Oreochromis niloticus: one gene and its partner. The protein of the gene in region 2 interacts with the protein of the main gene of each other region in a pairwise test. Links are inferred from orthologs where the notes say so. Each region holds a gene or a part of one and is shown on either strand. Other genes may lie near its edges.

Region 1 (7,298 bases), on a different chromosome or scaffold from region 2:
GCCATCACCAGCAGCGCGGTCTCGAGACCTGTGATGACAACAGGACCAATGAAGTTGAAATTAGTCAATTTTGAAATATGACCAGTCTGGGAATATAGGGTTAAGACACGATTCAGACATTATTATTTTTTTTCTTCTTCTTCCTTTTCTTTTTTTTTTTTTTTTTTTTTTTTTTTGTAAAGATGAATGAGCCTCTTAAGATTTCTTTAACTAGTACATCACCACAGCTGCTACCCCAGTCAATGCAGGAGCTGTCAGAAAGCTGCAGATACTTTTATTGTTTGTTTTTTAAATAGCCAAGTCAATATTCAAAGTTAAAATCAAACACTTGTTAAAACACAGCTCTTCAAACTCCAACTGGACTAGCAGCTGTTGGCACTAGCATGGTTCAGGAAGCCTGGTGTATCACAATTGTTTAAGTGAACGATCACATTAGCTTCACTTGCTGTTTTTTCAGTAGCATTTCTCCTACCTCCTTGTTTTGCAGCCTTGAGTATTGTTAGTCTCTCCACCTGTTCTGACTTAAAAAAAAAAAAAAAAAAAAGTTTATTCACAGTACGGGAATACAGATTTATCATAAGCAATGGTAGTTATACATAAAGTGTGCTTGGTTGTGCTGTATGTGTACTTGTCTATTTGACGTTGGAAAAAAAAATATTTATGAGAAGCATTTATACGACAAAATACCACTGGAATGTGAAGCCAGACAACGTTATGATGCAGATTATGATGATAGTCTATCCCCTTTAACATTCAGTGGCGAATGGTCAGAGGAATCATCTTTTTAAGAAAATGAATAACCATTGGCTTTATATTTTAACAGCATTTATTTCTTTGGTTTCCTCTTATGCATATACTTCCCCCATCTAGCCCTATGGTATACAATATTTCAACGTTTACAGCTTCCTTCTGGGTCAGCCATTGATTTTTATTTTTTTTTTATTTTTTCTCCCCCCCTACAGTTGTAATGATATCACAGGTTGTCACAGGGATGATAGTAAGGTGTATTTGTAAATGTGGATGAGTTTGAGCCCCTCGAGCCGTATGCCTTTGAATCCATCTGTCCACTCTGTACCAAATTCTGCTACACAGGCGTCTTGTTTCCGCACTGCCCCAACATTTTACATCCAGTTTTGAGTACAAAGGGGTACGGGACAAGGGTGAAAGGTTTGAGGTTTTTCAGACCAGGCCCCGCCATCCCACCACCCTCACAACCACCCAACAGCTCACCCATGCCTACTCTAAGACAGGACCAGCCCAACTCCCCCACCCCTCCCCTCCCCTCTCACCCACCGTCTCACCTTTAACCTCAAGCCATTCATTTTTCTGTTTTTGTTTTATTTTAATTTTTTTCGACAATGCAATCCTGAAAGCACTTTGCCTTGTTATTCCTTTGTGTGAACATGTGAATGATAATTTGTTACAGAAATGTTAAATATGTAAAAGATCATTCACTGTTTTGGAAAAACCTGCATCTGTCTTTCTGACGTTAAAAGGAAAAAAAAAACAATTTAGTGACATTAAACCTGAATCTATTTTATAAAATGTTTGCTGCAGCCAATTGGTCTTGTCATTCAGTATTGTGGCTTAGGGTTGTTTGTGTTCAATAAAGTGCTATTGCTAAATATTTCTTGAGTCTGGAGTTATTTATGTTTTTCGTGTGTTGTGTTTTCGCCAGTCTTTCAAACTAGGAACCTAAGAAAAAAAAAAAAGCTGAGAAGACATTTTAAACCTTTTTGTGTGTGTGTGTGTGTGTGTGTGTGTGTGTGTGTGTGTGTGTATGTGAGAATCTACTTGAGGCTTGAGGTTTCTCAACTCAAATGAGGAACTGACAAAGCAAAGAACTTGACTGTATTTACCACCACTGTTAGCTCACATTTTATAGTAGTATGATGGGAGTGTATTGGACTTTGACCTTTGTGTGTTACTCATAAGGAATTTATATACTTTTTAAAGTGTTTATGTTTTCTGCAAAATACAGTAACAAGCGACATTAAAATATTGATCTGCTGGAGTTTATACCAGATTGAACCACTAGTTTCATAAGAAACTAATGTAATAAAACGAGTGACTTGCATGCAAAAGTAATGTGAATATTGCCATATCTAGCTCTAAGTTTCCTCTAACAGCGAGACTAATTTGAACTCAATTTTATCTTGCTTAAAACCACATAGTTTTATAAGAGTACCAGTGCAGTTCAATGACACCGTGTCAGTGTTGGAGGAGCATGCACTCACACTGTTATAGACGGAGTCATTCATTTCAGTGTCTGCCCCCTTCTGCTAAACCGGATCCACCCACTCTGCATAAAGTGCATTTTCTATCTGGATATTTCTACCTATTTTTTCCCCCCTTCCTGTTTACCTTCTGTCCTAAATATAACATTATGTTCTTTCACTGCATGGCTGAGAAAGAATCGTGTCATATTTGTGTGGCTGTGCTGTGGAAAAGTAATGAGCAACCCTCTGTTTCTTTATGCTTTGCTAGGAAAATGGCAAATGGTTGCAGCAATTCAGCTACATGCACAAACATATCTTGAAATCTGGTATTTTGGCAGATTGCACAACTCCAACAAGATTGAAAATCAATATTTGGTATTCCTAAACGATGCCTGAACTCTCTTAGACACATTTTAGTCTGTAAGTAGTCTTCAGGAATAATTATATAGGCATCTTGAAGGAGATTCAAAGTTCTTCTTTGGATGTTGGCTAATTTGTGTTCTGTTCCCTGTCAAAGTCACCCCCACACTGTTGATGTCTAGGCTCTGGGAAGGTCAGTCCATGATGGATAGTGATCCATTTTGTGTGTATGGTTTTTTGTTTGTTAATCCGGGTATTCTTTAACTTACTTTGCTTTTTGTGGTCATTGTCATGATTATAAATTAAGCCATTCATTGTTTAGTTCTCTCCTGACCTCCTCCAAACATTGAGACAAAAATGTAAAATCTGGATTCATCATCCTCACACCAAACTGGTCATTACAGATGGATCCCCCTCACTGGGACTGGTCCTGCAAGAGGTTTTTTTTCCAGGTAAAGGGAGCTTTTCCTTCCCACTATCACCAACTACTTGGTCACAGGGAATTGGGATGTTGGGGTGACTGCTGGGGTTTTCTTTATTATTACCAAGTGTATACCTTACAATATAAAGCACCTAAAGGCAACTGTTAATGAACTGTAAATAAAATTTAATTTAACTGAACTGAATCACATGTTGCGACTCATTGTCAGTCATGGCATACCTCAGCATTTTCTGTTTTAATTTTTTAAGAATGGCTTCTTGACAGCCACTCTTCCACTGAGACCATTTCTAATGATGCATTTCTGAGGTCCTGTGTCAAGTCTTTGCTGACTTTCAGACACAGTTTTTTTTTAGGCCTTCCACTTCTTTTGTCTTCCAACAGGCTTCTAATAACAAAGTACCTAAAGATGCAATTTAAAATCAGATAAATTAGCAAAATCTTTGCTAATGCGTTATCCAAAGACACAACACTAGTTCATCCCATGACTTTGTTGCTTTTTAATGCTTGAATGATTCATTCAAGTACTAAAAAGCTTGTCTAATAGAGTTTAAGAGAGAAAAATGTTTTCATCTGAATATGGTGGATAATAGGAATGGACTGAAAATGAATGAATAAAACAGCCAATGTCCCAAAAAAATCTTTGAAAAATCATCCAGAAAACCTAAAGACGTATTGTTGAAGACAACTTTAAAAATATAAGAAGATCAAAATGGAAGATTTTGCTTCCTGGAAGGAAATTATAAAGAAATGAGAGGTAAATCAAGTCTTTTGCAGATTACTGTATGTATTTGTGCCATATTTGTCTTTAAAAATGAAACCATCACGGAAAAAAATTAACTGGTAGTTCTAGTCAGATTTGTGTAAATGTGTATTATAATATGGTCTGTAAATGAATGAAGATAGAAAGATGAATATATATAGAGAGAGAAAGTTAAAGGACCAATCAAACGAACGTTGTAGCAGTACGTCATGACGTCGCCGCTCGCTTGCGTCTCAATGACGCTGAAGTGTAGGATGTAGCACAGGACGTGGCTATCAAGCTCCTAGCTACACTGGGACGTCTGAAAAAACACAGAATTCGTCATAAAGAACTAGTTTAATACACGCTTAGGTAAGTATATCTGTTAGTTATGGTATTTTCTTCTAGAGTGTGTAATTGTAAACGGATATTTCTCTGTGTAATACTCCTAGACTGAGCTCTGTCTGGTTAGCTTGATGCTAATATCCAGGGAAAACCAACGGTACCGTATTTGCTAAAAGGGATGGTTAGTGGAATAGCGATAGCTACATGTAATTCGTGACTAGAGAGGGGTGCTTATATCTGAGCATTGTTGTGCTTTTTGTGCGATGACCCCAGTTTCTTTAATTATAAACCCCAAATAACAGGGGCAAAGTACAGCGTTGTCAACGAAATATCTTTCACATAGCTAACGTTAGCAATGCTAATGTTTGCAGGGCATGTTGAGAGCAATTGGAGAAATGGGGGTCTGTAAATCGCCTACATGTGCCGCTTTCAGTCAAATTGGGTCATCAGCCAGTCAGCTGGAATGACAGGATGTTCTCATTAGGTGCTGTAGGTGACAGTAGGGTTAAATTTACACAACGTTAGGTCAAGGGCATCGAGTCAGGGCTGTGTGCTCAATGTCTTGAGTCATTGTTCCTTTAAATTTTTTTTGATTAAAGCAGAAAACGATGTTCATAAAGATAAAAAAGGTGTGGGATGCTGTTAGGTAAAGAATATAGATTATTGCAAGAAAATTTGAAAACGACTGAGCTCACGTCTTTTTTAATATATCTCCAGATAAATTGCGTCGATCTTGGATTTTGTTCCATGCAAGTGCAATCAATCTAACAATCTCTATGAATGTTATAATTTTTCTTTTTCTTTTTTTTTTAAACTCTTTTAGCAGGGAGGCCATTTTACCAGATGTGACGTATCAGCAAAACATCAGGACCTGAATGGAAACATTTGAGGGCTTTTGTGCGTGAGGTAGGCTTAAAGTATTTGAACTATGTAAAGGATTTAGGCAGATTATTTGGCATTGCTTGGCAAGTAATTTGTCAACACGTCTTGGTAAACTTGTCACTGTTCTTTGAATCTGGGTTTTCTCAACTGCTTTTGATTCTTTATGTAAACTCAGACTGAGCTGATGGTGTTGAGCAGAGTTGTATTATGAAGCAGGTTCAACATATCCAGGTTTTTTTTGCATTAGCTGGCTTTACCAAACCTAAAACTTTATTTGGACATAATGAAGATTTTTATTGATTCTCACACTTGCATAAAAAGGGAATTTGATGCATCACATGACTGCTTTTCAGCATAAAATTGCCAGATCGTGTGATAGGGATCTAGAAAGAACATACAAAAATATAACCTCATTATATTTTAATAATTGTGGCAGTTGCTGACAATTGTAAACCAAAACTCTGAACACGACCTGCTCTGGACCAGGTTAAGAGTTTAACATGAGTTACCATGGTGACCAACTTGACACTGAAAACTCTTGAGTTTTAAGCTTGACATACACTGCTGAACTATTAGTCTCGCTTTGTGGTACACCCCTCAGGGCTAGTTGAGTACCATCTGGTGTTTTTCTTGTCACTAAAAGTGTTTGTTGTTTTTTTTTTTAATCACTTTGGGGTCATTATCATGCACCCAAATAAATTTAGGATCAGTCAGTGCCTCTCTGTTGCATAAGAATGCAAAATACTTAAAATCTTTGTACAGATTAGTATCATCTGTGTACAGTTGTGTCTTTAAGAAGTTAATATGGCTAAAAACCTTTTTGTGTGTTGTTCAGGAGGTTGTGGGTAATGTACCATGGGGTACGACGTTACGAGGTTTCAAGGGGAGGTGGATGAAGACCTGTTGTGTCCAATATGTAGTGGAGTGTTAGAAGAACCAGTGCAGGCAAGTCTCTGATCAAAATACACCCCACCTTTTAATTCTATCTGTTTTTCTGACATTAAATTTGTCTTCTATGCATATGGATTTTTCCACCTCAGGCTCCACACTGTGAACATGCCTTCTGCAATGCCTGTATAACGCAGTGGTTTGCCCAGCAGCAGATTTGTCCTGTTGACCGCACAGTAGTGACGCTGGCTCACCTCCGTCCTGTGCCCCGCATTATGCGCAACATGTTGTCCAAACTTCAGATCAGCTGTGATAATGCGAGCTTTGGTTGCACAGCCACACTGCGGTTGGACCAGCTGCAGTCACATCTCAAGGACTGTGAGCACAACCCCAAAAGGCCTGTCAACTGTGAGGAGGGATGTGGGTAAGTGGATTCCATAGAATAAATCCAAAGCCTTATGTGACATCTATAGAAACACTAAGACAACCATAATAATATTACCATAAATTGTTATAAGAATGTGACCTCCTTTGTATTTTGTAGTATTAAATTTTCTTTTCTTGCTTAATATTCTGTCTTTCTCACTCTTGCAGGCTTGAAATGCCCAAAGATGAGTTGCCCAATCATAACTGTATTAAACACTTGCGGAGCGTTGTCCAGCAGCAGCAAACTAAAATTTCAGAGCTGGAAAAAACTGTAGCAGAACATAAACACCAGCTGGGGGAACAAGTAAGAGTATTTTGCCAACACAATAGTATATTTTTGACAAAATATTAGGTCTAGTCTTGATAAAATATTAACAGTTGTCTGTCTGTATGATATTTGGCAGAAATAATTTGAGTGCCATGTCTTTGTGGTATAAGACACAGATGCATGCCTGTTATACGTGCTTGATGGACGTGCAATAACAATGGTCTCCTCATTCTTATTGCACTTTTTTTTTGGTGTGGACATGCATCTATTTGGGCTTTTTAAATGGGCAGTTGCAGATTTTGTACTTGAGGCAGTTTTGAGAGGTTTTCATTCACTCTATTGCTTTTCATTTCCAGAAACGAGACATTCAGCTGCTAAAAGCCTACATGAGAGCAATTCGCAGTGCAAACCCGAACTTGCAAAACCTTGAGGAGAGCATCGAGTACAATGAGATACTTGAGTAAGTGAAGGTTTCCTTTCCTCTCCCAATATGTGATCTGAAATAAATTCAGTTCCTAATTTTCTTTTTTTAAATCTTCAGGTGGGTAAACTCCATGCAGCCTGCTAGAGTGACACGCTGGGGTGGCATGATCTCCACTCCTGATGCTGTCCTCCAAGCAGTCATCAAGCGCTCCCTCATTGACAGCGGCTGTCCTCTCTCGATTGTAAACGACCTGATCGAAAACGCCCACGAGCGTAATTGGCCGCAGGGACTGGCCACTCTCGAGA
Region 2 (7,355 bases):
ACAATTTAACTAATAGATTAATTCCAGTGAATGTGGAGGGTCTCAAGAAAACAGTGTCCAGCACAACAAATATTAACCTTACACTGTATCCTAAAGTATTTGTTAAAGTATAATCTGTATAAAGGAAAAAGAAAAAGAAAAAAAACATGCCACATTGTAGGAGAAGAATGAAAGCTTTACAATAGAGATAAACTTGTGTTTTAAAAAAAAAAAAAAAGTATAGTACAAGTCTGCAGGAGACTGTTTGGTCACTCTGATGTCCCACACAATGTTGTGAGTCGATTCTGTTGGGAAAAATAAAAATAAATGATGAGAATCAAAGCATATGCAAATATTTCACATCAAAATTTGGCTAAAGCTGCAACAAAACAGTGACGAAAAGCTGATGAAACTGTGCAAGTAACGCTGTCCTGCTGGAGTTAATTTACCTGCAGCTGCCGAATGCTCCTCATGGCGGTTTCGTCCAGCAGTGACAGATCCACTGAGTCCATCTGACTGGCCAGCAGTTGAATGCTCTGGATCAATATGTGAAGGACAGTTGTGTTAGTGAATTAGTTTTTGAGAATTAGCCTTCTAATCCAGAGTTTTGTTAGACAATTAATTACTCAAAAGCCATGAAGTCATCAAATGTAACTAAACAGTCATCAACATAAGTATAAAATCAACATGAAAGCAGAAGACTTGAAAGCCAATTTAATGCATCTTTAAGCTCATTTTCAATAAACCGCATATAACAAAGTATTCAATGTTTTATCTTCCTGAAAATAGACGTCTAAATTTCTTTAGTAAATATTGTTTCCTCTGCTGCCTTGTTAAAATCATTTCTTAAACAACTGACTGATCAATAGTACCTGAAGCTCTGAGCCTGACTAAATGTGCACTCACCTCTCCATTCCCAACGGGAACATTGATGACAATATCCTCATTTCCTGCTGCAATGGGAGAGCCGTTGACTGAAATGCTATAGACCCTCTCCTTGTGGCGGGGAACTCTCACTGCGGGGGTCTTGGGAAGCCTGAGGTGAAGTGAGTAATATGAAGCCTTCTTTGTAGGGAATGTCAACATTGCAGAGTAAATAGCACGGTCTGCCAGATTACAGCAAGTCTCCAGTCCCCGCACACTTTCTAACACTCAAAGACATTAGATCCACTTACAGCTCTATGAGAGCAGAGATTTTGCTTTAACGAGAAGCCTGAGCTTTAATACAATACTTTGAGCACTTGTTTGTCTGTTTGCCCATGTTTTCACAGAATCACTATCTATTCAGCATGAACTGTAAATGAATTTGTGCTAGTAAAAATGTCTCAGTACTATGTCTCAGTAATAAAACACTGAATATAAAGACACAACACTGCAGAAGTCTTCAGTGAGCTGCACTGAATAACCACATTCAGGACAGGTGTAGATGTCAACCTGTGAGGACGACTGGTGCACTGCTAATGTTATCCACACACAGCAAACTAACCTGACCAGTATGTGAGTCTAGTTTCTTATGCACAATATAAATCTGACCCGTCTTCATCTGTGCTCAATTTTGAATCCTTTTTTTAACCATTTTATAAATACGTTTTCTCCCCTCTCAATCAACTAGAACACTAATTGCTATTGCCAGAAACACCATCTTTAGAGTGACACAGTATAATTCTAAGGTGTACCTTGGGTCAAAGCGGGGGGTAATAAGAGGAGTGGGTCCCATCATCAAAGAAGAATCCAGCAAGCTTCTGGCAGGAGTAATCAGGGGGTTCTTGTTCGATCTGAATCCAAACAATGACAATGTGTTAGCATCACATTTATTAGCTACCAAACTTGATTCCAAAAGTTTTTAGAAAGGGAGGAAAGAAGAAGAAAAGAAAGAAAGAAAAAGAACAATACAAAAAGTAAAAGAACTTACCGTCTGATGGTGGAGCTCTGCTTGCTGATCGACAGCGCCTTTGCCCTCTTTGTTTTAGTCGGGGGCTTTCTGGTAGTTCTCCCCTAAATTATAAACAAGCATTTAAAACACCACAAAAGAAGCAAACAGAGTATCCTGCATAACAACAGCTGTATTTAGTTGCTCTCATGTATGACTGTGTGAAAAGCAGTCATTACCTTTTTTGTTGTGCTTGGGACGTTTTCATCCTCAGAGCTCAATGTAGCCCCACCTTTCTTCTTTGATGCTGTGGATTGGACAAAACAAATTGGATTGGCTACAGGGAAATGGTTTCCTTGTTTCATAGGAAATGTATAAACTACTTTTAACTCACTTTTCTCAATTGTTTTTAGAAGAGATGTATGATCCTTAGCCACGACACTTTCCACAAGAGCAGCTTCCTCTTTTCTCTATAAATGCAAATATAACTGAGTGTTTATGCAGAACAGAGCATCGTTACACAAGCATGAAACTTGTATATTAAGTATAATTTGACAAGGCTAATCAACTGACCTTTGCACTATCGAGTTCTGGTGTTTGTGGTTTCTCAGATTCTGCAGAGATTTAAATGTTCTTTATTTAATGCTGTTTAAAAACCAAAACAATATACACTATATACAGAGCAGCAGTGTAGAGAATACTTTTTGGTAATAAGCTATATATAGCCTGTCAGGACTAATGAAATTCATTCAAGATGAAATGCACAGATTTTTGAAAATGTACCATTAGCTTTTTTAAAAATCAGAGCAGAATGCTGTAAAAGTCTCTGTGGCTCAAGAGCACTTCTTCTTCATAGATTTGGGATTTGTTAGTCAATAAACTATGTTTACTTACTCCAATGCTCCAACCAGTTCATTTGTCTGACAGCCTTGGGGAGCTTAATTATTGCCATGTTGTAGCTGTTGTCAACATCTTTCAGCAGCTGGTTTATCTTCTCTTTCAGCTGTCCAACTCTAGTCTTCACTGCAGAAACACAAGTGTTGAGTCCAGCTTAAGTTATACAGTGTCAATTCAGCTTAAGTTATACAGTGTCAGGGTGGGGTGGATGGATGTTAGCATCAGTGGTTATTTGTGACAGTAGATTGGATCAAGAGTGAAGGTAAAGATGCTAAGATTTCCACTGGTAGTGACCAGAAAGGACATATTAGAAATTAGTACATGTGAAGGATGGCTGAGGTTGAGTGGTTTGGAGGCAAAGTTAGAGAGGCAGGGCTGAGATGTCATAAACATGTGCAAAGGAGGGATAGTGGAAATACTGGACAAAGGGTGTTGAATATTGAGCTCCGAAGCTGGAGGAAAAGGAAAAGGTTCATGAATGCAGTGAAGGAGGACGCGCAGAGGGTTGGTAAGACAGAGGAGGATGCTAAGGATATAGTGAGCTGGAAGAAAATGTTGTTTCGGTTGTTCCTAAAGTGAGCAACCGAAAAAAGAACAGGGAGTATTTCTGTAGCATTTCTATGGTGAGTTAAAAATAGTAATAATAATCACCCTCGCTGTCAAAATCCTCCAGAAAAGCTTCCAGTTTTGCCGTCTTGGGGTTATTCTTGCGTTGCTTGGTAGTCCTTTTCCTGGGAGCCATTTCTGACGGACACGGAGTATATTAGTACATTACAATATAGCCTAGTACAGTACAGTATAGTGTGGTATATTAACACGCGATAGACACAATGAAATATTAACATTATGACCCTTAATGGGGAACAAAAGAAAGTAAAAAAAAAAAATCTGCCTACATGCGGCTAACTGTTGGTGAAGCTAACGTTAGCGAGTAGCTTTAGCTGAGTTAACGCTTATTTTCTGACCTTATTTTCGACAGCTGTATTTACACCTACCAATATGTGTTACTGGTAGGTGTAAATACAGAATATGATGTATTTACATGCTTTATTTAAAGTATATATCATTACCTAAATGTGTTTTTCCTGTTCGTTCTCGACACTCGCCTTCCTTCCTTCACAAAGCCCTTTTCAAATCTTCGCGCGGGGAGGGGCCAACACGCCAGATCAGCCAATTAGGACGCGCATATGCCTTGCGTCGCAACAACTTTGTTTTCAACCTATCGTAGCGCCGAACGTCAGTGTTTACATCAAGAGAACGGAAATGGTTCAGGCAACATGGTAGAAATGTGATGTTCTGTAGCTGCGAGAAGAATCATTTAAAAGTCATTTTTTCATAAAGTCGCCTTCATGGAAAATAAGACATAAAGCTGACTTAATGTATTTCGTATTTTTCCCTTTGGACACTTAAGTACTAAAATCGTTTGCTGAAATGTCTACGCTTGCGGTAGCTACGCTTCATCAGGCTCTGAGGAAAAGCTTCGCGACACTTGAAAGCAACCAAAAAGTATGGAAGAGTGTTTTAGCCGAGTGCAGCCCTCTGATGGTGTCTCTCGGGAATTTGGCGGAGCAATCGAGAGCACTGTCCAACGTGCAGATCTCCAACACACCGCTCAGAGTTTTTCCTGACCTGGAGGAGAGACTCCGCTTTAAACTCCTTGAAGCAACGGATATAGTGCTGGGAAAACTCAACGAGAAGATGTGAGTAAATCGGCTTTTATATCTGATAAGGATGCTGCGTTATTGGTATTCACATCAAACTATCCATGTTTGATGGGAAAGGAGTACAGCTACACCCTTTTTAGTAATAAAAGATCAGTTTATATTTTAGTAAGTAAATGGATCTTTGGAGAAGAACCTTATTAGTACCAGTTTGCAGAAGCTGCTCAGAGTATGCTTCAAGTATATATTATACTATAATTTTTATCTCACCCTCCCTTCTTTCCTTTCCTCTTTCTTTCAGGTCTTCCCTCCAGTCTGCGAGGGATGCCATCAGTAACCAGGTTGCTGCAATCCTTCATCTGTACGAGCAGAACACACACAGTTTAGATCTGCTTGCAGTAACTGAGCGATCAACCACCACCCCGTCGGTCGCTGACATGCTCGAGTGGCTTCAGGATGCTGAGCGTCACTATCGGCAACAGTATCCTTTTCTCTCTTCAGTTTTGGATGTTTATGTTATATTCTGGTATTTTTTCCCCTTAACTCTTGTGTTCAGATTCCTGAGGAGGAAAACTCTGCTTCAAACACTGAGAGCAGATGACCTCTCACTTCTGGAATCTGCTCCCCAAAGGTGGAACTCCTTGGAGTCTCCCAGTGCAGAGGACCACATCACAGGTAAAATGTATATGACAAGTACTTCACTATATCATTCAGTTCACATCTGTAATTAATGCTGTATGATGGACTAGTTCTTTCAACATTGAAAGAAGCTGAAGATGTTTATAAATGTACTTAAATCCAGAACAACACAAGTGCTGACAGACTGTCATCTAGCATACATCTAAAGTCATGTAAAGATTTGAAAACAATAGATTAAAAAACAACTGTAAAAACATAATTCAGGGAAATATTATGTCACGGTTTTAAACTTAATCTTTTTTCCTGTTACACTAGAGGGCGTCTTTAAATATTCTTTTTCTATCACTTATAATCAATCATAAAGGGACCTACCTTTATGGCCAGTATTCATAAAACTTTTAAAATTCATCTCAAGTAGCAAAACCTAATTTGATATAATTTCAGTTTTAATAATTGAGTACACATTGGCCAGAGACCAGTGCTCTGATGGATCTAGAAGTGACTGTTATTTATTAAACTAATTATCTTGCTCTCTTTTCTTTTCAGATACACTTTGCAAAGTGTCTTTCTTTGTGGAGTCGCAGTGAAGATGGTTAAGGACTCACCTAATCGTGAATATAACTGCATTTTAATGAAGACGATGAGAACAAAGAGATCCAGAAGAACGACTGAAACTAACTGCACATTGACTTGAACTGATGCACACAAATGTCGCTTGGAGGGACGATGGTGCAGGGAAAGCTCCTGGTTCAAATCTCCTGGTCAACTGTTGGTTTTTGTGTGGAGCTTGCATGTTATTCCTGAGCCTGCAGGGGTTCCATTGGCTTCTTCCCACAGTCCAAAAACACAAACTTGTATGTAAATTGGCTGCCTGGATGTGAAAGTATGAATAGTTCTGCTTCACTCTGTCTCCCATGATGAACTGTTAAGCCCAGATAGGATCAGCAATTAAAAATGGATGAGTGGACTTAAATTGCTCCTAGATCTACTTTGAAGGGAAACCAGGGTGCCCTAAAAACTACAAATAAGTATTTACAAATAATGGGGCCAATGTAAAGTATTGATTTATCTTGAATTCAGTTTGGATGGATTGAAATGTTTTATCCAGTACGTATGAGAATTTTGAGCACACATACATCTATATATTTATTGCACAACAGAACTGCATCTTTAAGGTTTCGTTATTTTTAGAACATGCTTGACTCTTATTGGTACTACAGTTCAGAAGAGTGTATCAGCAGGTGTCCAAATCATAGTTAACCTAGTTCAAATACAGCAGTGTAAGTAGTACTGCTCATTCTTACCTGAACTTCACTTTCACTGTGTCGTTCTCTCACAAGTTTGGTCTTATATTTCGTTTTTAAAGGTCTCATAAACCTAAGATTAGTGTTAGGGTTGGGTTTTACTTTAGTCAGAGGCTAAATAGACCTGAGAGGTCAACGAGGATTGCCGGCTCGACAGATCTAAATCTCCACTTGGAAATAATGGTTATCTCTGGTTTCGGGGTCATGTGACTTTTCTTCAGTACAAAATGATCCCTGTGAGTGCGGCCTACTCCAGAGACTTTAACAGATGAAGATGATGATAAAATAGTGATTAAAATGTATAAGGAAGATAAAAATAAGGTAAAAGCAATAGTTTTAAAAATAAGACCGAAAATTATTGCTGCTGAAAATAGTTAACTGTGAGATTTACATGAATTATTAATTATTATTTGGCTTAGTGCGCCCTTGATGCATCGAGCCATAACTCACAACTCATGCTGTTTATTTCTAAGGTGATGGCTGCACATCAGAGCTCTGAGACTTTAAAATTGATCCATTTAAAAATTAAATGTTATTGTCCCACATCGTAATAAAGGAGACGTGGAAAGCACTATAGTTTTTCAGCAGGTGAAAGTGAAATTAAATGTATTGATTGAAAAGGTATTCTTGGTGTGTGTGCTGTTTTATTAGCTACAAATCTAGCAGTGTAAACGAGACTCAAGAGCAGAATAAAATCAAGTATAACAGAATTTACTGCATCACCAAATTAATACATGTACATTCCCATGAGTATATAGCACTTAATTTAGTGGTTTTAGTAAGGTACTTCTTAACAACTTACACATATAAAAAGTATTCCCCTAGAAACTTAAAACATAGTGTAATTTAAAGATAAGGAAAAACATGATACTTTCTTTTAAACCAGTATAAATACTTCATTACTGTACTTAAGTAGAACTTTGAGGCATCTGTACTTTTCTTACAACTTTTTACTTTTACTTACTACATTTTTAAACAGATGTATTTTCTAATTTGGATTAACGG

The links.
Region 1: the proteins of airim (region 2) and rnf41 interact in binary tests that used the Homo sapiens proteins (3 or more experiments, as listed by UniProt). The two-hybrid records come from large-scale screens. The link is inferred for Oreochromis niloticus from reciprocal best matches to the Homo sapiens genes AIRIM and RNF41.

Annotation. Positions count from the first base shown.
Region 1 is NC_031984.2:9,466,752-9,474,049, forward strand, and holds the start of rnf41 (E3 ubiquitin-protein ligase NRDP1), read left to right. Parts: upstream 1-3,975; 5' UTR 3,976-4,132; intron 4,133-4,928; 5' UTR 4,929-5,011; intron 5,012-5,822; 5' UTR 5,823-5,842; coding exon 5,843-5,932; intron 5,933-6,027; coding exon 6,028-6,299; intron 6,300-6,469; coding exon 6,470-6,605; intron 6,606-6,925; coding exon 6,926-7,029; intron 7,030-7,110; coding exon 7,111-7,298. UniProt on the Homo sapiens protein: Acts as E3 ubiquitin-protein ligase and regulates the degradation of target proteins. Polyubiquitinates MYD88. Negatively regulates MYD88-dependent production of pro-inflammatory cytokines.
Region 2 is NC_031985.2:14,097,273-14,104,627, reverse strand, and holds airim (AFG2-interacting ribosome maturation factor), read left to right. Parts: upstream 1-3,997; 5' UTR 3,998-4,177; coding exon 4,178-4,446; intron 4,447-4,708; coding exon 4,709-4,888; intron 4,889-4,963; coding exon 4,964-5,082; intron 5,083-5,592; coding exon 5,593-5,633; 3' UTR 5,634-6,974; downstream 6,975-7,355. Other genes in the region: cdca8 (borealin), read right to left, coding at 249-284, 429-515, 886-1,015, 1,656-1,754, 1,892-1,974, 2,089-2,156, 2,244-2,319, 2,423-2,463 and 2 more. UniProt on the Homo sapiens protein: Part of the 55LCC heterohexameric ATPase complex which is chromatin-associated and promotes replisome proteostasis to maintain replication fork progression and genome stability.